4 linked regions of the Caenorhabditis elegans genome follow. The protein of the gene in region 1 interacts with the protein of each later gene in a pairwise test. Each region holds a gene or a part of one and is shown in the gene's direction. Other genes may lie near its edges.

Region 1 (11,206 bases):
GAAACCGTAAAAATTTGAAATTCCTTTCATAAATGTTTTCATTTTTCAAACTATTAGATATAGAAATTTGATGTCTCGAACAAGTTTTACAACAGCAGTGTAATTAATTTGAAGCAAATTTTGAAAATATAGAATACTACATTGAAACAGCTAAAATTTTGGATTTTCACAGTGAACAATGAAGTTTTGCTGCTGTGGGCACAGAACGCCTGTTTGCGTGCCAACCAAGGAAATTGTCAAATTATTTTTACTTTCGAAAAAAAAAATTTCTCGATATTTTTAAATTTTTTTTTGAAACCGAAACTTTCGGGGTCTGAGCATTTTTTTTTAACGGTGAATTCTTTTACCCCGAAGAAGAACTTATTAAAATTGCCAAACGTGTTTGAAAATTAAAAACGTGTTGAAACAGTAAACATTTTGTTATTTTAAGAATTTTATAGTGCATCAAATGAACACTTAATTAATTTGAAGAAAAATTCCAAAATAGAAACTACTGTGTAGAAACAGTGAAAATTTTTCAATAGCTTTCGGATTTATTTTCCAGATAATTTTTTCCGTACGTTTTAATAAAAATTCCGAATTCTCGTCTATATTTTCTGATGACCCTGAAACATGAGCTCATTTTTTGAATTTTATTAAAGCAAAAAGACTGCCTACTGCCTGCCTTTAGGCCCAAAATTCAGCCAATATAGAGGCTGGAAGGCATACCTGTAGTTTAATTGGTCCCGTCAAGTATCAAAATATGTAAAACGAGTTTCATTTATGAAAACTTGCTGAAACCGTAAAAATTTACAATTACTTCCACAAATTGTATATTGTTAAATTCCACACAGAAGCCAGTTCTTATTAATTTGAAGCAAATTTTAAAAATATAGAATGCTATTTAGAAACAGTAAAAAATTTCGAATTTTCACAAAAAATAAAAAACATGATTCTTGTGATTCTTTGCTGCAGAAAAAAACGAAAAATTACTAAACCCCATGTATTTTCTCAGGACCTTGAAACATTAGCTGATTTTTCAAAAACTCAGAAAAAAATCGAGGTTCGAGATGATTCACTTGCCTTTTTCTACGTGTACGTCAGGGCTTCCAGGCAGGCGCAGTTTCAGTGCCTGCCTGAAACCTGCTCGCCTAACGCCGGCCTTTTACCTATTTCATGCGTTTTGGTTTGATTCAATTTTTTTGAAAATCAAATTAAGAAATTAAAAAAAAAAGAGTTTTCATATGTTTCAGCATAAGGTGCAGGTTGAGGCAAGAGGCAGGCGTAGGCCACCTTAAGGTCAGGCAGGCAGACGTTTTGACGCCTACATGGAATTTCTTTGCCGAATTTAAAATTTTAGTTTACTGAACAAAAAATGTACTGTTTCACGTATTCCATGAATTTCCATATTTTGAAAACGTGATATTAGGACACATCCCAGCCTGTCTTACTATTAGCCACCGAAAAACGTAAATTTATGTCTTTGGAATACCAATTTATATGTTTCTAATTTGAAACAAAATACTTCTTCGAAGTGTTACAAAATTGAAAAATGAATTCTTAACATGAAAAGAAGTCACAGCACGGCCGAGAATTTATTCGATTAACATTAACAATCTGAAACAGTCAATTTTTTTTGTCCAATTTTCTAAAACTTAAAGTTTTAACACTTTAGTAAGAGAAAAGTCAATCTGAAAATGAAAACTGCATTTCTGTCCTCCACTAATTGTTAGCTGGGAATTCTCTCTGAAATTCCTGATTTTAGTATCAGAATCTATTTGTCGATAGTGGTAAATCAATAACCCGATCAAAATATGCAAAACGAGTTTAAAATTTAATAACTTGTTGAAACAGTCAAAATTTCGCTAATTTAAAACGAGTAAAGATTCTGTATTAATTTAAAGCAAAAAAAAAAACAATTTGAAAATATTAAAAACCAGTTAGAAACAGTAAATTTTTTATTTCTCATGACCATGAAACATAAGCACATTTTCCAAGTTGGAATGCTCTGTAAAACGAAATAATTGATAGAAAAATTTCAATTTATATCTAACTGTAAATGACCCTTATTAGGATGTAATACAGAAGGATAATCGATAACAATTCATTTTCCATATTGAATATGAGTAACCTGAAACAGTAAACTTTTCATCCAACTTTCTGTAAATTTTGCTGTGCCTTTTGTGTTATTTCAATTAAAAATTGCCATTGATACTTGACTTATCTGAAACAAGATACATTTTTTCTAAAAATTTGAACTTGTAAGTCTTATAAGCTCTATTAATTACCTAGTTTGAACAAAAAACGAAACTTCAGCTCACTAACTAGTGAAATCGAACTTCGAAGTAATGTTTGACAATTTTTGCTTTCCGACAATAGCAGCATTAAACTTGAAAAAAATTTAAATATTGAGAAACATTATTCGATTCATATGTAAGCAATCTGAAACAATATATATGTTTTCTAAAATATTATACTACCTTCATTTTCAACACTGTATTACCCCATTTTATACATTCAGACAATATCAGTAATCTGAAACAGTATTGTTTTCTTCTCAAGTTTGAAATCTTTAAGGTTCCATATAGAAATAGCCCCAGTATAATTTTTTTTTCAATTTCTTTTTCCCGGTATATTCAGATTACTTGTCAGATTGTTATAAAATTTCCAGACTCTAAGCCAATTTTAAAACACGCAAAATTATTTCAGCTTGGCCGAAAAAAAATTAAAAAAAACTAAATTTTCGGTTTCAACACCACATTTTATAATCCTCAAAATGCTAGAACAGTAGTGAGAAATAATAATAGAACTTCATACACTCAGAATAAAAAACTGGAATAAATCTAGCAACGTATAAATAAAATGTTGGTATTTTTAAAGACAACTTGAAACAGTGGAAAAATGTTAAAATTTTCCAAAATTTCCGTCAAATCGTCGTTCACCCAAAATTTGAAAATTTTCCAGATTTTTCAAATTGTTTTCCAATAAAAAATATTTGAATAAAAACCACAAAAACATACATACTTTCGAACATTTTTAGAACATTTGAACAGTAATTTGTCGCGTCGAGACCCGATACAGTAATTTTCGCGCAAAATTTCACGGTTGGGTAATACAAGTAGAACCTTAAATGTTCATGTTCAGCTCATTTTATAATAACTTGAAAAAACCACTACTGTTTCAAAATTAATTTGAACGATTTTTTTTTTGAAAAAAAAAACATATTTTTCTCTAATCCCTCAATAATATCTCCATTTTTTTCCGTCCCCCCAATCATCACAGATATCAGCTGAGACAGGGGAAAAGTGGTGTGAAAACACACAAGTCTCTGCGTCTAGCGGTGTGTAACACTGTCTGCGTCTCTGTGCTCTCTTTGATACTCTCTCCCGTGTGTGTGTGTGCTCCTGGAGCTCTTATACATTTCCAAGTGTTTCTGCTCTCTGCATCTCTTGCCCATTTTCCGCTTTTTTGAGCCAACAACTTCTCATTAGTTTTTTCCTTCGAGTTCTTGTGCAGAGCCACGGCTCTTTCAACAACTCGCACAAATTGAAAGTTTTCGCAATTTTTTCTTGCATTGCACGTACATATTTTCTTTTTTTTTTTCATAATTATTGATGAAAATGAATATGTTTTGTCAAGCGAATATGCTACATTGAAAGTTTTCAGAAACAGTGAAAAATCAAATTGAAATTAACAAAATCTTTCAAAATTTAATCACTTATTTGAAACAGTAAAAAATTTTTTAAAGTATACGTCGATTCTGAAAATACACTGAAAATGAAATAAAATTCTTGAAACTGTAAAAAAATTTTTAACCAATTTTTTTTCACAAATTTTTCTTTGAAAACGTTTCCTTTTTATTACCTCCTTGTCTTCCCATTCCCTTCATTAAAAATCTGAAATTTCCAGACATGATGGGCTCATCGTCGCAAGAGCTTCAAACAGCTCTAACCGACGTCTCAAAGACCTGCCATCACTTGTGGGAAGAGAATAAGGACCTCCAAGGCAGATTTGTGAATGAACTCGGCGAGCTTCAACGTCTGCAAATGGTCATTGCACAGCTGGAACAGCAACAGAGACTAGAAAATGTATTCACTGTGAAACAGCAAATGACAGAGTTACAGAAAAGAGCAGCCACACTTTATGAGCATTTGACACAGAAAAGAAATGATATTGTCATTAAACTTAATGATGGCACCAATTTTGCGACGATGCTACAGGTTGGTTCTTCTAATGTGAAAAAATATGAAAAAAACATAAAAAAAATTTTACTGTTTCAAAGTTTTGTGAAATATGAATTAAAATTTTTTACTTTACTTGACTGTCGAAGACCATTTCCATTAAAAAACTCTAATACAAGATTTACTTTTTTGAAAAATCCTTCAAATTTTGAAGAATTTTGCATGTTCAGTAAATTCATGCTAAAAATATTTTTATTCTTTTAATGTTTCAAGTGAATGTTTTGTTTAAAAAAAGCATTAAGAAATCTTTTAATATGAAATTACATCAAAAATGAACTGAAATACAAAAATTAATTAAAAATTTAATGTTTCCCATGCATTTCATATATTGAACGCGCGAAAATGTCATACTTTAAAACTGGCCTGCAATCTAGCTCTCTTATCTGAAAAAAAGTTAGTTATAATATTTACAGTTTCACACTTTTATCAAATTTAATCTTTTTTTTCCTTTTACATTGATTTTGCATAAAATTTGACAATTTTTTTTAAAGAGAAATATTTTTAAAAAAATACTGTTTCACAGTTTAATCAAATTTTCTATGCGTTGCAATATTTTAATCAATCTTCATTTCCAGACCCAACTAATTGGCGAAAAGCTGTTCTCCTGGAAAAATGCCCAAAAACTTGCCCAAATCGGAATGCCTTTCGATAATCGCGAACAGCTGCTTGATGAAATTCAAATTGAATTCGAATTTCTCGCTGATCAAAACTGGCAGCTTAACATGTTCTCGTGTTGGATGCTCGACTTGCTCCGACGTGCTCCACAGTTAAATGATGGGCTCGCTCAGGCAACAATTGGAAAGTTGACTGCAATTACAGAACAATTGAACAAATTACTTTTTATGCTGGTTTCACAGAGTTTTATTGTTTCCGTTCAACCGGAACCTGTTTTGAAGACTCAACATAAATTTGTCACTGAGGTTTGTTTTTTAATGGAAATTATACATGTCAAATTTTGGTGGGTCCCGCCGCGAAAACCACACCGTCGTGACGAGACCCAACTTAGTTAGAATTCAAGCAAATTATAAGAAACAATAAAAAAAAATTCAAAAATTTTAATTAAAACTTTACCGTTTCAAAAGTCATTCAAATAAATATGTAAGTCATACTCAACAATTTTATTTAAGAAGTTCAATTCGAATATAATGTGTGCCACGCATTTGTTCAGCTTGAAAATTTCTGGGTCCCACCACAAAAACTACAGTTCCACCCCACCTAATTTTACGGGTTACTGTAGTTTCCGCTGTGGGACGCAGCAATTTCAGAATCCTGATTTTTCAATAAAATTACAAAAAAAAACTAAAATTTCCAGGTCCGTCTTCTCATTGGCGATAAGCTGGGAATTCGTCAACACCTGGTGAACACAAATGTTTCAGTGAAAATTATAGCAGAAGATGAAGCCAAGCAGTTGAGTGTTGACTATGATGCACATAAGGAAATGTGAGTTTTTTTTAATGAAAAATTTGAAACAGTAAATTTTTGAAAAATTGAGAAAATTTTTTTTTCTAAAACTTATACTTTTTCGTATTATTTTTATATACTTTTCTTATTTTTTGTGGTTAATTTGTAGTTGTATCACTATATTCAACACTAATATTTTTCAGCCGTAACAACAAGACAGTTGGCACAATTTCCAATGATTTCGAGAAGCTCACAATGAATGAAAGAGGACACTTGGCGGCAAAATTCAATAATTCAAAATTGACAAGAATTGCACACAGAAAACCGCCCCCAAAAGGAGCATCTGACTTGAAATGTGCAGCAAGTATGCAGGCAGCTACTGATCAGAAATATGCTCTTTTATTCTTTATTACACCTTTTCAAATGGGTAATTTGAGCAAAGTAAGTTGTTGATATTTCAATTATGACTTGATTTTTTTTGAACGTAGTCAGTAACTCAAACTCAAATGCAAAATCTTTTAAAAACAACGTGAAACAGCAAAACATTTATTTTTTATTTTTTCACTGTTTCAACAAAAAGTTTAAAATTTATTTCAAAATTTGAGTCTGATAAACGAACAATGGTTGAACCAAACATTTCCAACATTTCTTTCGGTTTTCACTTTGAATTACTGAAATTTTCTAACTGGATTAGTAAAAGCAGTAATTCTATATTCAAAAAAGTGTAAAGAAACTTGAGAATTTTCACTGTTTCAGCTACTCTTAATTTTCAAAATTTAATATGTCCTCCAATTTCTATCAATTAAAATTTAACAGGAAGAACAATTCGACGTTTGGACACTTTCTCTTCCAATAATGGTTACAGTACACGGATCTCAAGACTGTGACGCGCAAGTTGCAATTCTCTGGCACCGCGCATTCGCCTCAATCAGCAGAAATCCAAATACAACTGATGTGACAGCTGTGACATGGGACAATCTAGCAATAATGCTTCGAAACAAGTTCTCCTTATTCACGGGAGCACGTCGTCCACTTTCAGATTCAGATTTGGCATATTTAAGTGAGAAAATGTTAATGCCAAATGTGGCAGATCAGAAGCCAATCACATTTCATCGATTCGCAAAACAGGCAATGAGAGATGACTTACCATTCTCATTTTGGGAATGGTTTTTCTCAATAATGCAATTAATCAAACAAAAACTGCTCAAATTCTGGGATGAGGGATGGTGCATTGGATTTATTTCAAAAAATGATGCGTCTCAAAGTATGATGATGTGTCAGCACTCTTCATTTTTATTGAGATTCTCTGACAGTCAAACTGGTGCTGTATCGATTGGTTTTGTTTGTGAAGAGGCTGATGGACAAAAGATTCCATTTCATTTGGCACCTTTTACTATTAAGGATTTGGATCAATTGTCACTGGCAAGTCGTATTGCTTCATGTCCACAATTGAAGGATATTCGGTTAGTTTTAGACGCGAAAAGTTTACCATGTTGTTAAGTATGCTTAGTTACGGTCAAAAATGGAAATGTTTAAAAAAAATTGGAAAAATGAAAAAAATTATACTGTTTCACTAAATATTTTATGTGGTTAAGAAATTGGACAAAAAATAAAAAGTTCAAAAATACTACTTTTTCATTGAAGAATCATAAATAGCCTCAATTGCAATAGTTTGATATTTCTGTAACCACGAAAGTGAATTGAATTTTCACGCGATTACTGGGACGTAAGTATCGTACCTGCCTACGTACCTGCCTACCGCCTATTTTCTGCGCCCTGGCGGGAAATTATGTGATCTATGTTCTCACCGTCCAAAAAAAAAAAAACTTCAACTGTTTCACTTAAGAATTATATAAGTTGTTCCTTCTTTTTTTAATGTTAAGAAAATACTCCTTCATCTTTTCTAATTATTATAATTTGATTAAACTCTTTTCAATCAGTGATCAATTTAAACAAAAAATGTTAAAATTAAAGTCAGAAGTGCCAAATAAAAAAAAAGGGTAAATAAAAGTTAATTTTAGGAGTGAAAACTTAACAAGATGTTAAGTTTGTTCAGTTACAGTAAAAAATAAGTGTGAAGAAAATTGAAAAAATGAAAAAAAATTATACTGTTTCACTAAATACTTTTATCATTTGGTTTGAAGTTATTGCATTCTTATTGCATTCTCTTTCATAACAACAATTTTCGGGTCTTACCACGTTTTGAAACCTTTGAATTTCAAAATTTTGCTATGAAAACTGGCACATTTAAACAAAACAAATATTTTTTATGTGGTTAAGAAATTGGAAAAATTTGAGAAAAAGTTCAAATTTTCTACTGTTTCATTGAATAATCATAAATAGCTTCAATTGCAATCGTTTGATATTTCTAATCTTTGTGAATCACCCTGAAAAATATATATAAATAATGTTCACATTTTTCACATTCACATCAGTACTAAGAAATACACCTTCTTGCCTTGTGCTTACCTACCTACCACCTATTTTCTGCGGCCCGGCTGGAAATTATGTGATTTATGATTTCACCGTTCAGGCTGAAGCACTTTTGATAATATTTCTGAACGTGGATATAAATTATGTCAGCAGTTATTTTGAACAAAATTAACAAAAATTTGAAAAAAAACTTCAACTGTTTCACTTAAGAATTATAAAAGTTGTCCCTTCTTTTGTTAATGTTGCAATTCCGAAATACTTATTACAACAAATGCATCATTATAATTTGATCTAAATCTTTTGAAACTGTGATCATTTTACAAAAATATTCAAATGAAAGTTAAAATTGCCAATTTAAATAAAATACAGGAATTTAAAAAAATTTTTTTTTTTTCTATTGTTTCACTAAATAATTTTATATGGTTTTTTTCATTGAACGATATTGAAAATGGCATCAATTGTATAATTGTTAAATACACTTTTCTCCGTACTTTTTAGGTCTCATCACCATCTCGATACTGTGATTTTTAATAATTTATTATAAGAACTGTCAGCACAGCAGTTTTGAACAAAAAGTTTCATTTCCAAATATTTCATTTTTCTACTGTTTCATTGAATAATTATTAAAAACATCAGTCCCATTTTTCTGATATATTTTTTAAAAATATTTTTTGGATCCAATTAGTAAACATCATGAAAGTACATGAAATGTTAACATGAACACTTTCTATAACTGGACACCTCCTGCCTGCCTACCTACTTGCCTACCGCCTATTTTCCGTTTTTACTCCAACTGTAATTTTTTGAATTTTCTCGTTATAGGCAAAAGTGGGTTACAAATGACACTTTTTAAAATTGGATAATAACGGTGTGAAAATAGAATGAATGCAGAAACATGCGCTCGTGAATAATAACTAACTGAAACTGGGTGGAATTTTTACTAAAATAAAATCCGGAAATTGTGAAAACTGCACGGAGTAACTCAAAAAACTAATCGTTTTTATAAAAATTCTAAGGCAAAAAAGTTAGCCTGTCTGCCTACGGTGTAATTCTTCAAGAAAGTCAAATTTTGAAATTAGTGAATTAAAAAAAAATTATGCTGTTTCAGGTTGTTGATAAATTATCGGTTAATTTCTAACATCAGTAAACATCTCACATCTGGTCGAAAGTTTGAAAATATTAGATACAATCGATGTAAGGGCTGCTATGTTGGGCCGAAAATTACTGTTTGACTATAGGCAAGCTACGCCTGACGTGTGCCTTCTACCAGGGGAAGAATGTGTTTCATTTCTTTGCCATTAAATTAATTGAAATAATAACACTTACATTTAAATTTTCGGCTTAGTTGAAACAATGGTAGGCAGCAATGTAGGCAGAACGACTTGCCTACCTACAGCTTCAACAAGGCCTTAGCGCCTACTTAGAAAGCCTGATGAATTTAAAGCAATTTATTTTGGAAAAATGCCAAAGCATGTTTCAAGTTGTTCATTTTTCAAAGTCTAATATTCAAAAATATTAGTGAATCACTCAGTTTTTTTTTGAAAAAAAAACAAGGTCTCGCAACGGTTTATAATTCTTATTTTACTTTGAAAAATAACCGCCAGCCTATTAAAAATACGAATTAAAAAAAAACGCAAAATGAAAATATTTTTCTGTTTCACTGAAAAGAGATAAGATCATGGCTTAGAATTCGGACAATGCCTCTTCAAAAAATGACAAAAAATGTTTCAAATTGTCTATTTGTAAATCATGTTTCTGAAAAATTTAAATTTTTCCAGAAGTCGCAGATTTTAGAGTCGAGACCCAATTTTTAAGGTTTGACAAAACATTGACTTGAGCTGTAATCTCTCAAAATACATTGTAGACATGTAAAATGTGAAAATGTTTCTACCAATAGAAATTGAAATTAGAAAACAACAATTTTTCTCACAAATTCTTGAAACAGTGAAAAATTTTTTATTTCAACCGAGTTAATTAAGGTAGCAACACATAACTAACAGCGTTCCTCTTAACTTACAAATTTTGAAACATGAAATAAAAACCTCTAAATTTCAGATACATGTACCCGGCAATCGATAAAGAAGAAATGCTGCGTTTCTTCGAGTCCGAGGAGCGTCATCGCGTGGGCGGTGGTGACAGTCCAACTGGATATATTCAAAGTGAAATTGTCATGGTTGCAAAAACAAATGGGTAGGTTACAGATGGAAAGTTTAGAAATTCGGTTTATTTTAGGAATTTCAGACGAATGTCCAATGCACCGTCCATGTTTGGTGCAGATTCTCCGTCACCGTTGTCGGTTCAAAGCAAATTGGATTGGTCACCCGGGGAGGTTCATCAGAATCATATGATGGAGATGTGAGTGATGTGTTCAAAAAGTTTATGCGTTCGGGGGGAATCGAACCCCCGTCGAATGCTTGGAAGGCATCCATGCTGACCATTACACCACGAACGCGGCGAGAAGTCGCTTTCTCAGTGGCCGTTATCAAACTAATGACATCTCATCTAAAGTGACATTCGATAAAGAAATTTCCAAAAATTACAAAATGCGCTCCAATGCTAATTCCACTGTTTTTTCCAGGTCCGACGAACTTGGTCAAATCCTAACAGTCTCGGATATGTCGGGAGATGTAGAAACTCTATTGGGACCAGCATTCAAGAATAATATCACAAACTACAATCCACACGATGGAAATCATCAGCATAACCTTCATTTTGTGGATATGTCCCAACAGGGAATGATGCAACAGCACCACAATCAATTTTATCCCTCATAAAACACTATTTAAATGTTAAAACAGTCCCCCCAATTACCTCTTTTTGAATTTCTCTGTCTCCAGTTTAGTATTCATATCTTTGCTTCTTTCGTGCTGTCCATCTTCCTCAATTCTTTGATAATCTAATATTATTTTGACAATATTTACTGAAAATAATATTAATAATCACAAGTGATTTCTGATCTCATCCAATAAATTATTTTACTGTAAATCGAATGTTTTGATCTGTTCCACGATGGAGACAGGAAGCTAGAAAGTTTCATATAAGCACGTGATTCTAACCAAAAAAAAAAAATTAATTTTACTGTTTCAGGAAAATGTTATCAGTAAATGCAATTTCTAAATATCGATGGGGATCAAGAGCACGATCATAATTTA
Region 2 (3,124 bases), on another chromosome or scaffold:
TCTGGAGGTCAAGGACAACAAGGACCAGCAGGACCAGCCGGACCAGACGGACAACCAGGACAGCCAGGTCAAGATGGACAAGCCGGAGCACCAGGAAACGATGGAGCCCCAGGAGCCGATGCTGCTTACTGCCCATGCCCATCCCGCAGTGGATCTTCCTCAGCAGTTGAAACTGGAGCTGCCGAGCAGGGATACCGTCACCGTGCTGTTGCTGCTCGCCACCGCAACGTCATTCGTCGCCGTGTCGCCAAGAAGCGCGTCGTCAAGAAGAAGCGTGTTGTTGCCCGTCAAGCTTAAATGACCATTCACCTATCAACTCATTTAATGATTGAAATTCGAATAAAACAGTTTTCTATATTTTTTCTGAACTTCGCAAGATAGCAAAACGGTTTGATTTAATGATCTTCTTACTAAAAATGAGAAGAATGAAAGAGATAATAAAGAAAATCGGAAAGGTAAAAACAACTGCCAAGGTCACTAACTTTCTATTTCTTTGCATCCATCCAACTTGAGAAAAAGGGAGTGGAAAGAGAAAAGGAGTAAATCGGAATAAAATGAACAAAGAAAGTGTTACATTTTAGATTGAATCGGACTAGAAAAAAAGAAGAAAGAGATGGAAGTTTACTGCAAAACGAAGAAGGAAATGCCTCTATTGTGAATGCAACTTTTGAATAATAGAGCAAGAGAGCAAAATAAGCCACGTGGGGGAGCTAATGAATAGGAACGGAACTAGACTTTTCAAAAGAAACTTTTTCTGTGTATTGACCGATTGACCAAACTCTGTGGGAATATCTGGGGGATAGGGACTTTCAGAAAAAAAAATCAGAAATGCCTTCATCAAAAATCTAGTGAGTTCACTGTTTTTGATACTAGGTGCTAGATGTTTTGCTCTATGCAGATTTGAGGTTTCATAAACTTCATTCTGTACATCAAACGTATAAATCGTGGAATCGTGGCGAGACCCACTCGGAAAAAGCATGTCCCTTTAAACTGACATGTCAAAATTTAACAAAATTACGATATCATTCGAAGCTTCTAAAAAATCGGAGACGCGCAAAACGGAAATTTGCGATTTTGCATATCAATCTTCTAATTAGCTGAAAAATTTCCTAAAATCTACAATTTCTTCTGCCAGACTGAAGTTAAACCTTGATAACATTTGCCCGTAATCGTCAATTACGGTTTATTTCTGCAGAAGAACCAACGAGATACCGATCATGAGTCTCTCGTCGTGGTCATCGTCACGAAGCAATGAACTGATCGAAAAACGGACACAACACCCAAAAAGTACTTTTTCGGTTAGTAAAAAGTTATTGAGAATGGCAAAAGTTACTTCCTCCTGTTCGGTAAAAAATGTCTGGGTTTCCACGAAACGCATGCCAACTTGTTAGCAACATCACAAAGCAGTTACACAACACCTCTGGATCGCTTTCTCTCGTCGCTTCGAAAGTGTACACTCTATCTAATCAGAAGACAAAACCGAAAAACAGTTTCACGTAGTTTACCGGTATAAAAGGGCTAGTTGCTTACTGTCAAACCACAGCAGTCGTTTGCGAGGATGTCGACAACCTTCCTTTCGGTAATGGCCGGTTTATCCGGTATTGTGGTCTTCGGAGCTCTTATCTCCGTTTTCCACATCTACACCGACATCAACTCCTTCGTTGATGAGGCTCATCGTGAGCTCGGAGCTTTCAGAGTAAGTACCATAAAAATACTTTGTTTCAAAAGCATTCATTTTTCTAGGGAGTTGCTAATGATGCCTGGAACTCGATGGTTAATCATGATGATTCTGCCCGTGTTGCCCGTAGCGTCTTCGTTCGTCGCCAAAAAAAACAATCCCAATGCAACTGCGGACCACAAGCCTCCAACTGCCCAGCCGGACCACCAGGACCACCAGGAGCTTCTGGAGACAGAGGACTTGACGGACAACCAGGACCAGCCGGAAAGCCAGGACAACCAGGAGTTGCTGGACCAGCTCACCACCAACAGCAAGAGTGCATCAAGTGCCCACAAGGAGCACCAGGACCAGCCGGAGCACCAGGAAACCCAGGACCACAAGGACCAAACGGAAACCCAGGAGCACCAGCCCACGGAGGAGGCCAAGGACCACCAGGACCACCAGGACCAGCTGGAGACGCTGGATCTCCAGGACAAGCCGGAGCCCCAGGAAACCCAGGACGCCCAGGACAATCTGGACAGCGTTCCCGCGGACTCCCAGGACCATCCGGACGTCCAGGACCACAAGGACCACCAGGAGCCCCAGGACAACCAGGAAGCGGAAGCACTCCAGGACCAGCCGGACCACCAGGACCACCAGGACCAAACGGACAACCAGGACACCCAGGACAAGACGGACAACCAGGAGCCCCAGGAAACGATGGAGCCCCAGGATCTGACGCCGCTTATTGTCCATGCCCAGCTCGCAGTGCCGCAGTTTTCCGTCACCGTAATGTTGCTGTCAACCGTCACCGTGCTGTTGCCAAGAAGCGCGTTGTCGCCAAGAAGCGTGTTGTCGCCAGAAAGCGCGTCGTTGCTGCCAGACGTCACGTTCAAGCATAAAGCAATATATCCTACCAAAGTAGAAATTCCTGATAGATTTTTGTCGAATAAACTCATTTTCATTATCTGTAATTTGATCTTGCAACACGAGCCCTTTCAAATAATCGTCGATTTCTTATTTCCCTTTCACTCATCACTTTCGCTAAGCAAATCGAACGCGGCGCATGGTTTTTTTTAGTATTCTGGTGTCAGCGGCGGCACGGACATTGATGAAAAGATAGGAGAAGATAATCAAGTCGTCGCATATCTGAATTATCGCTATCACCTCGACGCGTTCATAAAAACTCTGCGAATCGAGAACGGTAAGATGCAGGTCAAGAAAACCGCAGAAAAAGCAGTCCCGGTGTGGTCGAAGGAGGAGGAGGAATCATGAAAAAGCAACGAGTGGGATCTCGAGATAACCGCTATTTTATCCACAACGCTACTCCGTCGTTAGCCGCTCGTCTCTCAAATTCAGCGATCCTTATCCAGACATCCTTCTGACACCTTTCTGACATTCATATAGACTGCGGTGACTGGACCCTAAGATCTATAGACTAAAACCACCCAATCCGGTCTTGTAGGT
Region 3 (7,842 bases), about 15 Mb from region 1:
TATTAACCGAATTTGACAAATTCGAACTCAAATTCCATATTCATTCAACTCGAAAAATTGTATGTTAGATCTTATAGACCACAAAATAACAACTTTTTAACTATTTTGTATTTCTCTCTAAACATCAGACAAGATGTGCCCAAAAAAGTGACAGTAGTCAATTAGTGCTTGTTTTGTAGTTTGTAGTCAGCCACGTGTCATTCACGTGTATTTTGGTCGTTCTAAACAAGACGCGGTCATAAAAATGTGTACAGTGATAACGATGATGACAACATCAGGTGAGACCGGGGGTTTGGCAAAAGGACACATCATTTAAATAAATATATGTACTGTGTTGGAACCGGTGGGATTATTGTGGACAATAAATAGATAAATGAGCAAATATTATTGTTTTGAGCAAGGTGACCACCGGAAGAAGGGTCACATGGCAAAACGACGTGGAGTTAAATGTATTTTTAGATGGCTTGAAAGAATTTCAAAAACTTCTATATGTAAATAGTTGAATTTTAAATATTTTCAAAATTAACTTTGCTGCAAGTCATGGTGCATCGACCAGAAAAACCTCGCTTAGCATTAATTTCGCTTGCCTGTGGTCTGATCAAAATTTTGTCAACTAACCAAATATCAAGCATTTTTCTAGTTAGAAGTTTTTCAATATCTTCGAAAATAGCAGAGATATAGGCTCCTGTGGTTGATTTGCAAAGCATGGTGCATCGATATCTCAGTTGTCTAGGGGGTTATCATAATTTTGTCAACTACTAAAATATTTTTCAAATCTTTTTCTGTAACATTGCAGTTAAACTTTTCTTGTTGTATTTTAAAGTAGCAAAGATATAAGCCCTCAAAGCTGTTCAGTTTTGTGTGGTCACAATGTATTACAATATCACAATGATCACTTCCATAAAGCCCTGCTGAAGCCCAGGGCACAAAATTTAGAAGGGTCAGGTCGCAATCTAGCCATTTGTCATCATGGCTACGCGCACACTCACACTGTGTCTCTTTGTGTCTCGGCGGTGTGCATGTGCCTTTAAATACCCCCTTTTGAATCATTCACGCGTTCTTTGGTTCTTTGGTTCTCAAGAAGAGCGGAGAGCAATCGCGTAATTTGTGCAGCCTTTTTGATAAGACTTCTTCATGAGTTACTAGATTTAAAACTCGAATTTTTACTATTTTCTTAATAAAAAACTCCGAATTTCCCCCATTCTCACCCATTTCTCTAGTCGGACACAAAATTTTGTGGTCTCCCGTGCTCTATAGTTTTTGGTCATTGGTCACATCGTATGTTTCGAAATCATCGCCGCTGTTTTTGTTTTGAAAATTGATTTTCAACGAATTCTCTTTGGTTCTCCCAGCATAGAAAACGGTCATTTTTCTTTTTTTTTAATTGCCGAAGAAAAAAATATAATGGAATCAGTGGAGGCGCAGACTGTTAGAAAGCATTTGCACTGTTTATTGAACGGTTTGGCGCCCGTTACTCAGTGGAAGTGAGTGGTATCAAAAAATGCGTTCGGTTGCATTTATAGTTTTATGAGATGAATATTTTGTAATTTAACAATTTTGTGATAAATTTACTTTTCGACGAGGTATAGAGGTTTTAGCACAAGCTGAATCCCGCAGCCTTTTAAAATCAAATTCTCATAACGTATTTTTACTTTTAACTCCTTTTAACTCCTTCGAAGTAAAAGTTATTCAACAGTTGTTAACTTGAGCATGTAGTGTTTTTTTAAGGCGGCTATAACTCAGCGGAGGTTAATGCTATGAAAAAGATGAAAATTACAAAAATGTTCAGTTTTATGTGGTAAATAATCTTTTAATGAACAATTTTGCGACAAATCAACTATTCGACAAGATACGGAGGGTGCTAGCTTCAGCCATTGGCACCCTACTTCTCACCACTAAACCTTTATGCTCCTGTAACTCAGCGGAGGGTAGTTTTATGAAAAAGTTCACAATTACAAAAATGTTCAGTTTTATGTGGTAAATAATTTGTTAGTTAACAATTTTAGGATAAATTTATTCTCCGAGGAGATACAAGGGCAGAAATTTCAGTAGCTCTCTTCATCGGCTCCCTTGCCGCTTCACCACCAAACTTTAGGCGCCTGTAACTAAACGGAGGTTACTGTTATGAAAAAGTTGCAAATTACAAAAATGTACAGTTTTATGTGATAAATAAATTGCTAGTTTAACAGTTTTTTGATAAATCCACTTTCCAACAAATTACAACGATTTCTAGTCTTCGACACTACTGCTCACCCTTCACCACTGAACCTCCAGGCGTCTGTAACTCCGCGGAGGTGAACTCCATTAAAAAGTTGCCAACTACGAAAATACGCAACTTTTAAAGTTCTATATTTTATTAGTTGGCATATTTTTGATAACTCCTCTACTCGTAGAGATATCACAGCTTAAACTTATACTCCTTATACTCCAGCCGATCAAAACACCATTTTTTCCAAAAAATTCCATCATGGCGTCAAGTATCATTTCAACACCATTTATTTACTTTGTGTCAATTCTCAATTCTCAACTTTCAATTTCTCCTCAAAAATCAAACATTGCGAGCACATCTGAGCACGAGGGGAACAAACCACCACCTCCCACACAATTTCTATTGTTGTAGCCTACCGGAACGGTGGGCGGCGCCCAGACGTTCGGAAGGCGGAGCCCCGTTTATTTATAAATCGGGAAAAATTTTTGAAATTTTGAAATTTTGGAAATTTGAAAATAATGGTGCCATTTGTGTTGATTTTTTGGCGAATTCTCGAATGACTTTTCGTGTGTGATGAGGCGGCTGAAAAAAAAACTAACTGATAAGCTTTTCTATCATATTTTAACCTTTTCTCTCTCTCTTTTTTGATTCCATTAAATATCCATTTCCAATTTCTAATAATTTATAATTCCAGCCGTCCATCATGGCCGCTTTGGCAATTTCTCACTGCGTGAGCCACGTGGCGCGCCCAGTTTCTCCGGTAACACAAGGAAAACCGAGCGGAAGCAGACAGCAGCCGGTGAGCCAAATTTCGATTTTAAGCCTTGTTTTGGAGCAAATTTTTAGGCGATCCGGTTTGCGTTGATCCTTCGAAAGAGCACACGATGGCAATGGGAGAAGGAGCAGACGGGCTTGAGCGATGCTGATCTGAAAAAGTGAGTTTTACAACCAAAGCTGCTCGTCGATGCATCACGTTTTGCATCTCCACTTTGAAAGCTCATATCTTTGTTCATTTTTAAGATACTATAGGCACATAGCTAAAAATAATTTTATTAGTTGACAGTTTTCTTTTAAAACCAAATACAACGAGATAAAAACTGTGGAAGCTGGTTCTAGTCATTGCACCATGTCTCACGCCATTTCTAAAGCTTGTAACTTTGTTCATCTTTTAGATACTAAAAAATTGAAACTGCAATAATGTATGTCCATGTCTTCCTCCACATTCAGAGTCCATATCTTTGTTCATTTTATAGGTAGTAAAAAGTAAAAAATTTTTAACTACAAAACTGTAGAAAATCAAATATTTAAATATTTTGTCAGAAAGCAACTTTTCGATAAACCCAAAGCCAAATGAGATATAAGCTATCAAAGCTGGTTCCGGTCGATGCACCATGTCTCAAGCCACTTCTAAAGCTTGTAGCTTTGTTCATCTTTTAGGTACTCAAACAATTGTTATTACAAAATAGTAGAAAAACATATATTTCATATTTCGCCTGTGAGCAACTTTTTGATAACGCTAAAACAGACAGAGATATGAGCTACCAAAGAAGATAATTTTCGGTCGATGCACCATGTCTTAAAGTTCATATTCAATAGGTTGTTTCCTGAATTTAATTTTAATAACATTAACACTATATAAAATATGTATAAGGTGTCCGGTCGATGCACCATGTTTTGCTTCACCTATATCCTATCATACAGAAATTTGGAAAATTATATTTAGGCTAAAAACCGAAACTGTGTATTTTTCCCATGGTGTCTGCAATTGACAAAAGTCTACTGACCTCATTTGAATGTAAAAATGTCTATCAGGCTATATTCCCAGCTACTAAATCTTTTCAGGCACCTCTCCTCAAAAGGCACCAAGGTTCAAGAGCTCCTCGAAAACGAGAAGAAACAAGTAAACGCAGTGCAGGAAATTGTCTCCGAACTTGGCAAAGCAGGCATCTCCACAAAAGTTGTGACTCGCGAGCAGCTAGCCCAGTACCTGCCTGAAGCTGATCTGGTGATCTCTGCCGGTGGTGATGGAACCTTCTTGGCTGCAGCTTCCGTGGTCAACGACAACACCCCAATCATCGGTATCAACACTGACCCGATCGGAAGTGAAGGACACCTGTGTGTCGGTGGCAAGAATCCACCTCGCGATTTGATCGAGCGTCTGGTCTCTGGAAACTTGAAGTGGGTGCAGAGGACGAGGATACGGGTAACAGTAAAGGAATCCCGGAACTCGATTTTCTCATTGAAGAGGTCTGAAAAATCAACAAACCTCGCCCTGAACGAGGTGTTCATCGGAGAGGATGAAGCCGCCAAAGTCTCAACCTACAATATTTCCATCGACGATTCGCAGACAGTCAAGCAAAAGTCCTCCGGGTTGATTGTGTCGACTGGGACCGGATCGACGAGTTGGTACCTCGGAATGAACAGGATCGATGAGAATGCGACGACGTCAGTGTTGGAGGCACTGCAATCACTTGGCGTGGATGTGCCGATCACAAGGAATTTGGTGGAGAAGGTGGTGAATTCGGTGAATGAGAAGATCCCGTTCGAGCCAGATCATCCTAGTGAGTTTTTTGAAAGTTGATTGGAATTTGGGTTTGTTGAGTTGGAAACAAAATGTCAGGGGTATTTTTGATTACACAATTCCAAATATAAGACCCTGCACAGACATGGAAAAGGACTGAGAAAAGGACCCCATGGCTGGCCTCATCGTCAGGCTTCAGAAAACTCAAATTTGAGAATTTCTCATTATCTCACTTTCACTTTTAACTTTCCAGGTTTCGCCTTCTCAATCCGTGAGCCGATCTTCAACGCCACCTACAAACGCACGGCGACCCGCGGATTCGCCAGAAAGATCAAACTCGAATCCCGATGCACCAACGGATACCTGGTCCTTGACGGATCCACAAAGATCCCGTTCCCACGTGGCGCCGTCGCCACGATCGAGGTCAATCCGAATGATGCTTTGAAAACTGTGATTGTGTAACAATGATTTTGTGTGTATTGTTTTTATTGTACGGGTTTTCGGGTTGTCGTTTTTTTTGTGAATTATGAATTCGTAATTGTACATAGATTTTATACGATTTTATGTGATACATCAATTTGAAATTTGAAATTAAAAAAAAATAAATTCATTACTTTTTCATAACTGTATAAAATGGTCTCAAAAATGTGCTTCAAATGCACATTTTCTCAAAATTTCAGAGATCCATCGTTGCGAGATCCTTTGTCGTGGTGAGACCCCCCGTGGTGAGATCCCCGCAGTGCGATCTATCGTGGCGAGACCTATCGTAGCGGGACCCATCGAGGCCAGACCCTCCGTGGTGAGACCCATTGCAGTGAGACCCTTCGTGGTAAGACCCATTGTGGCGAGACTCCCTGTGCTGAGACCTCGTTCAGTGCTGATAATCTGATATGAAAAATCTGAAACCATACAAGCTGAAGTCATTTCGCAACCCCAGAAACTAAAAAAACCACAAAAACCATTTGAAATGCGACATTCTTTATTAAAAAGCTCTCTAATGAGTCTTGTAGATCTGCTCTGCCTGCGATGGCGCTGCCTCGACAGCCACCGATCTCGTTGGGCATGGACAGTAGGCAGCGTCTCCACCTGGCGCGGCATCCTCTCCCGGTGCTCCATCGGATCCATCGACTCCAGGAACTCCGTGTTGTCCTGGTGCTCCTCCGGCGCCTGGAATTCCATCGGCTCCCTGCTTTCCGTTCTTTCCATTGGCTCCCGGTGGTCCAGGTGGTCCACGACGTCCACTGTTTCCTGGATGTCCTGCTGATCCTGGAAGGTAGGTTTGTCCCTTGGCTCCCGGTGGTCCTCGTGGTCCGGCTCTTCCAGGCTTTCCTTGATGTCCTTGTGGTCCGGTCTCTCCTGGTCCTCCTGGGGATCCTGGTGCTCCATTCTGTCCGTCTTCTCCTGGGGCGCCATCGGTTCCCGGCTCTCCTGCACAACCATCTGGCCCTGGTGGTCCAGCTGGTCCTGCTGGGCAAGAGATGCAAGCTCCTCCAAAATTCTCCTTGATTGCCGCAGCATATCCAGGATGTCCATCAGGTCCATCAAGCCCATCTGGTCCGTCAAGTCCTGGAGCACCATTTGGTCCACGTGGTCCAGGTGGTCCTGCTGGGCATCCCTTGCTCTTGGCTCCACAGTTACACTGAGCGTTTCTCTTATTTCTTCCGAATAGCATGGCGGTCACAGCGGCACGGGAAGCTTCAGGGGCTCCGTTCTTGCGGAGCAGCTCCTCCCAGGCGTCATCAGCAACCTCACGAGTTGTTCGGGACTCTTCCATCACGTCGTTGTAAAGCCCATTGATGTCGGAAACGATAAGGCACATCGTTGCCAAGGATCCGATTGTGAGGACCGTAGCGGAAGCACATGCTAATGTCCCGAAGGCGCCCATCTGAAATGAAATGGTAAGGAATCAAAAATTGTACTGAATCAAAGTTAATTGTTTGCGAGGAAAAGTAAAAGTCGGAAAGTTTTGCCAATTCCATTCTTATCAGGTGCCATTATATACTAACCCCCAGAAGTTCCGCCTCTTTACTGCGAATCCATGATAAGAACCGGTTTCAAGACGGTTTCCATGGGGAACCTATACGCAAAAAATGTCTTGCTGTAACCGTGATAAGAGAACAGAAAGAGAAGGGGAAGTTGGATTGATTGGAACAAATTTCATTGTTAGCGAATAGAAGAATTTTTCAATTTTTCATTGGGCATTTGTATAACACGCAGAAATTTAAAATTAGTTTACTTAGTTCTGGAAACTTCATGGATCTCTAAAATCCAAGGCAATCTACTCATGGTGCATCGACTTCCTCGTTTTCTGGTGGTCATGGTGCACTGAAGTGAGCTCCAGATGGGGATGCACTAGGGTTTGGAATCCCCGAAGCATCCGACACCTTTCGGGTCATTATACAGCGCGTGATGGATCCAGGGATATGTCGGCCGTTTTATGTGTCCGGAATAATTGTGGCCGCTTAATTCATGGAGGTGCCTGGCACTTTATGCTTCGATATCTCTAAAGGGTTTGCAGCAGACAACTGCCGGGATTGTTTAACATCTTTAAGGACTAAGCAGCTGACACCTTGCGGGTTTTGATAGAACGGCATCTCTGGTGCTAGTAGCGGCCGACACTTAAAGGGTCTATAGCAAACGGTTGGCCTCTCCTGAGATCACGCAGGTCGACTTTTGCCGGGTAGATATTCAAATAAACGTTTACAGCAACAGGTAACAGCCGACACTTGGCGGGTTGAGTTTATTTTTTCAGAGATTATAGCGGCCGACACCTAGCGGGATATCACAGAGCAGCCGACATCTGTTCTAGTGGAAGAGACATCCCCAGTCATTAAGCAGCTGGCATTTGACGTGCGCGTAGACAGAACCAGCAAATTACCAGAGGCTGAGTAACCGACACTTTCCGGGTGGAAAAAAAACATCTGAAGAAGTTTAGCAGCCGACACTTACCTGGTTATAAAAATGGATATTAAGGATTCTATCAAAAAATGTCGAAAAAACAGAGAAATTCTTCATTTTCAAACCCGTACATAATCAAAATAAGCATTTTCACAATCATTTGGAACATCGGAGCGCAGTTTACAAGTTATGGACGACGTTGGAGGACTAGAAT
Region 4 (6,103 bases), on another chromosome or scaffold:
CGTGCCGCATTTAGATTTTTATCAAGTTTAAAAAAAAGGTATTCTGACTATAACAAAATCAATTATTTTTAAAATATTTAAAATAATGTTTATTCGTGATTCCCGCAAGTTCCAGCGCCGTGTGCTGAATTCTGTATGGAAATTCGAAAATTTCGTTACTTTTGTTTACAGAACTCAGCACACAACGAAAAAACTTGTGGAAATCATGGAGAACAATTATTTTAAGTATTTTATACAAAGAGTGAATATTTTTTTAGCCATAAAATCTCTTTTCCACTTCAAAATTAAAAGCAAAACGAAGAATTTGAGGCGATATTTTTAAAAATCGAAATGCGGCATGGAAAAATGAGATTAATGAGTATCTATAGATATAGCTATGCAACGCGATCCACGATTTGCATCATAACATGAAAAATATCCATTATTGAAACTAACATATCGATGACTAAGAAAAAAGAGGAAGGAGGGTGTGAATTTCTTCTTTTTTCACCCTCTCGAAAAAATTTGATGTCACGGAGAGGACAAAGAAAAATCTATCATTTCTTTTTTTTCTGGTTCCGGGTCACTACACTCGAAATAATAAAACTGCGTGGAGTGTACTGCAGAAAACCTCATAATTAGACCCCGCCTTTTTATCGTCCACTCGGAAAAGGCAAAATTCGAGGACCAACCAATATCAGGCCGCCGACATCTCATGGGTTCCGCGCGCCGCTATGTTTAACTCGTTGTGGGTGTGGCAAGCTGTCTCCGCCCGCTGCGAGTTAAACATAGCGGCGCGCGGAACCCATGAGATGTCGGCGGCCTGATATTGGTTGGTCCCCGAATTTTGCCTTTTCCCCGTGAGTGGACGAAAAAAGGCGGGGCCTAAATATTAGGTTTTCTGCAGTACACGCCACGCAGTTTTATTATTTTGAGTGTATGTATAAATTAGACTTTCGTATGAAATGAAGAGCAGGTGGACGTTATGAACGAAAAGTGAAAATTTTATGTATGAAGAAGCAAAAAAGATTTTATTGAATGAGAAGAGGATAAGGTAAGTGCGTTGCCATGTGGATGACACACGTGCAGCTCGGAATCCACGTGAAAGTTCACGGGTTTTTGAGTTTTTTTTTCTTATTGACCAAATAGAATTTCGTACTGTTAAAATTAAACGATCGATCTGTAAATTTTGCGAAAATTCGGATCGCACAGAAAAAGAGGCAGATCCTAATTTTGCAACTCTCAGGCACGATTTTTCCTAAATTTATTCGCTATTTCCACTACAAAAGCGCGGAAAAAAGAACCGATACCCGTAATAGAAAGCTTTTCGTTGAGATTTATCCAAAAAAAAAGTGAAAGGAATCAGGCTCGATGGAGCGGAGCACGAGGGTTTTCTAATCAGGCCTGTGTTATAATTAAAAGCGCGAATGACAAACGAAAGAGAATGAATATGATGCATAATCCGCCCGAAAAGTATGAAAAGTGGCGGGTTGCAGATTATGATCAAATATTATTACTTTGATCTACAAACGTTAAAGATTGTAAAATTAATGAAATACTCGTTTTTAATTTTTAAACCTAGAAATTTTCGGTAAATTCGACAAAAAAATTAGAAAAAAACTAATTTCTACTGTAGTAAATATTTTTTCTGGAGAAGAGAAGAAATATAATTTTTCCTCTCCCAATTCGTGAAGATTTTGATATTTTATTCTGGGAATTGGGCTTTTTTTTTTCAATAATTTGACGTTTAAAACTCGCTATAGGGGGTTGTTTTCAATTTTTCACACCTCGGCCTCTTTCTTCTTTCCCCCACGCGGTTTCTTTTGCTTCTTCTCTTTTTCAACTGGAACTGGAGACCGGTTTCTGACCGATGGCGATGAATCGGCGCTACTCATCTCTATAGTACGACGAATATCTCGAGTTTTACTACGAGACACACGGCCTTCGATTCCAACGCCATAGGTTTTTAGGAACTGAAAAACGATTTTGGTTTTAGAAAATTTAAGAACAATTTCGTACTTTTTCAGATGGATCTTGCAATCTATTCGGATCAGCCAGCCTTTTGGCTTCTCCTTGCGCAGATTCATCCGGCTTCTCGTATATATCATCGTCAATATCTTTTGTAATCCATGTTTGCTGCTTCTTCGGTCTCCCTTTCTTATTTGCTACAGTTGCCTTATTAGTGACATCTTCAAATCGTTTAGGATGCTCTGTTTGGAATCTTTGTATCTCCAAATTTTCATATCCACCATGAAAATTTTCTATAGGCTCCCAAGATGTCGATTTATCAGCTTGCCATAAAACGAGAAACTCGACTCTTTTCAATTTTCCATTGTACCGCATTTCTTGTACTTTTTCGACCTGAAAAAAAGTTGAATGTATTTCTGTTTCAGTCAAATTGCAGTATTACCACCCAGTGATCCTCGTCTATTTCTTCTTCTTCTTCATCTTCTTCGTCTTCCTCACCTCCTTGTTCATCTTCTTCTGATTCTTCCAATGTTTGAACCGAGCTTTCCTCTTCAGTGTCTACGTTGACTTGGGTCTCGCTGGAGCTTGACATTCTGAAAACTAAAACAAGTGTTGTGAAAGCGGTAATTTAAGAGTGGTTACAAGTGTAAAAACTGACAATTTTCATGAAGTTTATTATCCAAGAACATTAAAAGGTGGTTGAGGTCAGAAGAACAGCTCACAAGAGAATTAGAAAGGATATTACAACGGGAGACAAAGGGTGAAGAATGTACTTAGACTGTAAGGCAATCATTGTGATAAATATTAAAAGTGACATGAGTCACAAGAAGGGAATGGTATGTGTTCTCGTACAAGCACTAGCTGTCAAAAAAATCAAAACACAATGGGGTCTCGTGAATTATGAGAAATTCTATTAGGAAATACTTTTAAATTGATTAATTAAATGTAAAAGAACAATCTGTATGGTTTAAATTGAATTATAGTTTTATTGAATTATAGTTTTAGACCTAAAATTATGAACGAATTAAAAAATGAATTCAGCTCAAAAAACATCTGATTTACGATAAACAACACGCGGTACCGTTATACCGGAGTGTCGTTGAAAACGCGAACATTTTTTTTATTTTCATATTTTTTCCTCTCAATTTATTGATTTTAATTAAATATTCTTTTCTATTTTTTCTAATCCGTCACAGTATTGTAATTTTAAATTATTTATTAATGGAGTAATTTACAGATGCTTCGTGCTGGAGCCTCTCGTTGCCTTTCGGCGGGAAACACGGCTTTCCGTTGCCTCTCGACTGGAAAGGACAACCTACCGGTCACAAGATCGCATGATGCCAAAAAGGTTGAGCTCAACGATATTCTTGACAAACCGTCTCAAAAAGTAAGATTTAAATGTTGATTTTTCCTGTTTTAATACACGAAATTCAGCGAATTGCACTTAAATTGTTTATACTTGACATTTTTATTGAAATAAATATTTCAGACTCCAGTAAAAGTATCATCCGATGAGACAATGGATATCGGAGGTGTTCCACTTGATCACCAAGATGCCCGTACCGCTCGCATCTTCCGTCCAGCAAGAGAGACTACACAAAGTGCTTGGGGTAATACCAAGTCCTGGACCATTGAGCTGGATAATCGTCAAAGATGGGAAAATCCATTGATGGGATGGTCTGGAACGTGAGTAGCATCTTAATGAAGTTTAAAGTTTAAAAAAAAAATTTAGTGCGGATCCACTCTCCAATGTTGGAATGGATCTCAAGTTTGCCACAAAAGAGGACGCTATCGCTTTCTGTGAAAAGAATCGCTGGGAGTTTGACGTCGAGGAGCCACATGAGCGCAAGATTAAGCCAAAGAATTACGGACAAAACTTCTCATGGAACAGAAGAACCAGAATTGGAACTAAGTAAATTTCTATTAAAAGACGAAGTAAACTGAACCGCTTCTATTTAGATTTTGTTTTTTTTTGTGTAGAAAATGAAGATTTATCTCGATATTGTACTGAAAACTATTATTGTATTGGTTTCTTGTTGGTTTCAAAAATATCCAACTTGTATTTTTTTAAAATTTGATTTCCCTGTTTATTTTCTATATTTCTTATAAATCACCAGATGTCAACGGCACATCTACCTCCAGCGATGCGAACAAATGTTCCAGATCAACAGTCAACTGTGCAGAAGTTACTCGATGAAAACTCAAGGCTGATCGATATTATACAGGAATATTTAAATCAGGTTTGTTTGTTTTTTTTTGCAAAAAAGGAGTACCTTAAAATACTCACTATTCCCAAATGCCGAAATACCACAAAAGAAAATCGTAAAAATTGCTAAGTATGAAAAAAAAGATGATTTTGGCGATTTTTCAACTGTTCCTCATTTGAATTACCGCACTATGGTCTATAAATACCGTCCATAGAACCGTGTCGCACTTTTCAATTTTGGCACAAATTTATCTTTTTTGTGTTGTTTTTCTAATTTTTAATAAAGAAATACGTCATAAATGTGCAAAATTGTTTTTAAAAAATCGTATCGATTTTGTTAAATTTCGCGGAACTCTATAGAGCTCTACAATAACAATGTTTTTTTTCTATTGAATAATTTTTAAATACAAAAAAAAAACGTTTATGACCTTTTTATTCATTAAAAATTAGAAAAAAACACAAAAAATTCTGCCTCAAAATTGAAGTGCGGAATGGCTCCATGGGCGGAGTTTAGAGACCATAGAGCGGTAATTCAAACGATTTTTCAGATTTAATGGAATTTTTTCGTTTTTTAAAAATTTATTTCGAAATTCGAGCACCGATTACTCCTCCTCTAATCATAAAAAAATCATTTCAGAGCCGTGCTGACGAAGCCATCAAACACCAACAACTTTTACATCGGAACTTGTTACATCTTTCAAATCTCGCAGACCCATTCCTTCTAAGCCAGCTGAAAGATGATGGTACCGCTGCTGCCGCTCTTCCAGATCCTAACCAACAACAGCCTCAACCCGGAGCTTCTGGTCCTCCGGCACCACATCTCCAACAACAACAACCACAACATTCACCACAACAAGGCCATCCACATCCTCAACAAGGACTTCCTGCCGCTCACCATCGTCAACAAATGATGCCACCACAGGCGGCACCAAGTCCAGGTGGTCCAATGCAGCCGCCTCACGGATTTGCTCCTCCGCCAATGGGTGGTGGTGTACCACCCGAGATGATGAATCATCAAGCTTATCAAGCACAAATGCGGCAGCAGCAACAACAGCCTAATGGACAAGCTCCGCCACCTGTGTATCCACCGTTTGGACAGCCAGCACCGCAGATGAGTGGACAGCGAATGCCTTATCCTTACCCGCCGCAAGGTAATTATTGTGGAAAAATACCTTATTTGAGTTAAAAAATTCCCAGAATTTCCCGAAAAAATAAAAATTGGTGAAAAAAAACTTCAGGGGAATTTTGGCCTTTTTGTACATTCTAAAAATAATTCTGAAATTTTTATATCCCAATCCAATCTCAAAGATTCTGCACCTCAAACTATAAATTCACTGAAATTTATTTTCTTTCAGGAATGCCTGGATATCCTGGAGGTCCACCACCACCACCACACGGATACGAAGGATATCCTCCACCAGGAGCCCAGCCAGGATACATGCGATAATCGACAGATCTCCAACTCCAAAATTTCACCAAATTGTCAAACATAACATCTCATTCCTTTGTCTCACTTTGATATGTACTAACTGAATCATTAAATTATTGTGATTGTATGTTTTTTTTTCGATGTGAGAAAAGAAAAGAATCATTGATCTTGAGCACCAATTAACAATAAATGCAACTATTATATACAAGAAAAGATACCTAGACAAAGACCGGGGAGACTCTTTGGCATAAAGTCGTCGTCTCTACAGAGGGGAGATTACAAAAATTAAAATAGGGATAATACCAGTAAAGACTATAAAAATGTGTGCATGGCATTAATTTTAAGAGTTATTCTTCATCGTCTTCGTGACCGTCGAGGAAGGTTTCATTGAAATGGATCACAATAACAGTGATGTCGTCACGATAGTTACGTGCTCGGCCGGGAGGGACCTGAAAAAATAATTTTTATTAAAAAAAAATCATAATGTTACAATCTTTCACCGTGCCTACTTAAAGGCGCAC

The links.
Region 2: the proteins of sta-1 (region 1) and col-80 interact in a two-hybrid assay, tested with the Caenorhabditis elegans proteins (one large-scale study listed by BioGRID).
Region 3: the proteins of sta-1 (region 1) and nadk-1 interact in a two-hybrid assay, tested with the Caenorhabditis elegans proteins (one large-scale study listed by BioGRID).
Region 4: the proteins of sta-1 (region 1) and lpd-5 interact in a two-hybrid assay, tested with the Caenorhabditis elegans proteins (one large-scale study listed by BioGRID).

What each region holds. Positions count from the first base shown.
Region 1 is NC_003282.8:16,660,432-16,671,637, forward strand, and holds sta-1 (Signal transducer and activator of transcription 1), read left to right. Parts: upstream 1-3,888; 5' UTR 3,889-3,890; coding exon 3,891-4,199; intron 4,200-4,295; exon of another isoform or gene 4,296-4,316; intron 4,317-4,571; exon of another isoform or gene 4,572-4,592; intron 4,593-4,675; exon of another isoform or gene 4,676-4,696; intron 4,697-4,778; exon of another isoform or gene 4,779-4,795; coding exon 4,796-5,140; intron 5,141-5,153; exon of another isoform or gene 5,154-5,174; intron 5,175-5,336; exon of another isoform or gene 5,337-5,357; intron 5,358-5,532; coding exon 5,533-5,660; intron 5,661-5,783; exon of another isoform or gene 5,784-5,804; intron 5,805-5,824; coding exon 5,825-6,062; intron 6,063-6,090; exon of another isoform or gene 6,091-6,111; intron 6,112-6,230; exon of another isoform or gene 6,231-6,251; intron 6,252-6,437; coding exon 6,438-7,084; coding exon of another isoform or gene 7,085-7,121; intron 7,122-7,231; exon of another isoform or gene 7,232-7,252; intron 7,253-7,297; exon of another isoform or gene 7,298-7,318; intron 7,319-7,499; exon of another isoform or gene 7,500-7,520; intron 7,521-7,557; exon of another isoform or gene 7,558-7,578; intron 7,579-7,773; exon of another isoform or gene 7,774-7,795; intron 7,796-7,983; and 27 more. UniProt on the Caenorhabditis elegans protein: Carries out a dual function: signal transduction and activation of transcription. Activated STAT proteins play a role in repression of dauer formation.
Region 2 is NC_003280.10:10,705,664-10,708,787, forward strand, and holds col-80 (Putative cuticle collagen 80), read left to right. Parts: upstream 1-1,537; 5' UTR 1,538-1,558; coding exon 1,559-1,696; intron 1,697-1,743; coding exon 1,744-2,559; 3' UTR 2,560-2,624; downstream 2,625-3,124. Other genes in the region: col-39 (Cuticle collagen 39), read left to right, coding at 1-297. UniProt on the Caenorhabditis elegans protein: Nematode cuticles are composed largely of collagen-like proteins. The cuticle functions both as an exoskeleton and as a barrier to protect the worm from its environment.
Region 3 is NC_003282.8:1,454,172-1,462,013, forward strand, and holds nadk-1 (NAD(+) kinase), read left to right. Parts: upstream 1-2,903; 5' UTR 2,904-2,912; coding exon 2,913-3,008; intron 3,009-3,055; coding exon 3,056-3,144; intron 3,145-4,051; coding exon 4,052-4,770; intron 4,771-4,983; coding exon 4,984-5,192; 3' UTR 5,193-5,350; downstream 5,351-7,842. Other genes in the region: col-106 (Nematode cuticle collagen N-terminal domain-containing protein), read right to left, coding at 5,725-6,615.
Region 4 is NC_003279.8:4,370,100-4,376,202, reverse strand, and holds lpd-5 (NADH dehydrogenase [ubiquinone] iron-sulfur protein 4, mitochondrial), read left to right. Parts: upstream 1-3,184; coding exon 3,185-3,334; intron 3,335-3,436; coding exon 3,437-3,633; intron 3,634-3,679; coding exon 3,680-3,863; 3' UTR 3,864-3,948; downstream 3,949-6,103. Other genes in the region: cec-10 (Chromo domain-containing protein), read right to left, coding at 1,767-1,952, 1,999-2,340, 2,390-2,539; ZK973.9 (SS18 N-terminal domain-containing protein), read left to right, coding at 4,092-4,187, 4,791-5,304, 5,509-5,600; pdp-1 (PPM-type phosphatase domain-containing protein), read right to left, coding at 5,930-6,031.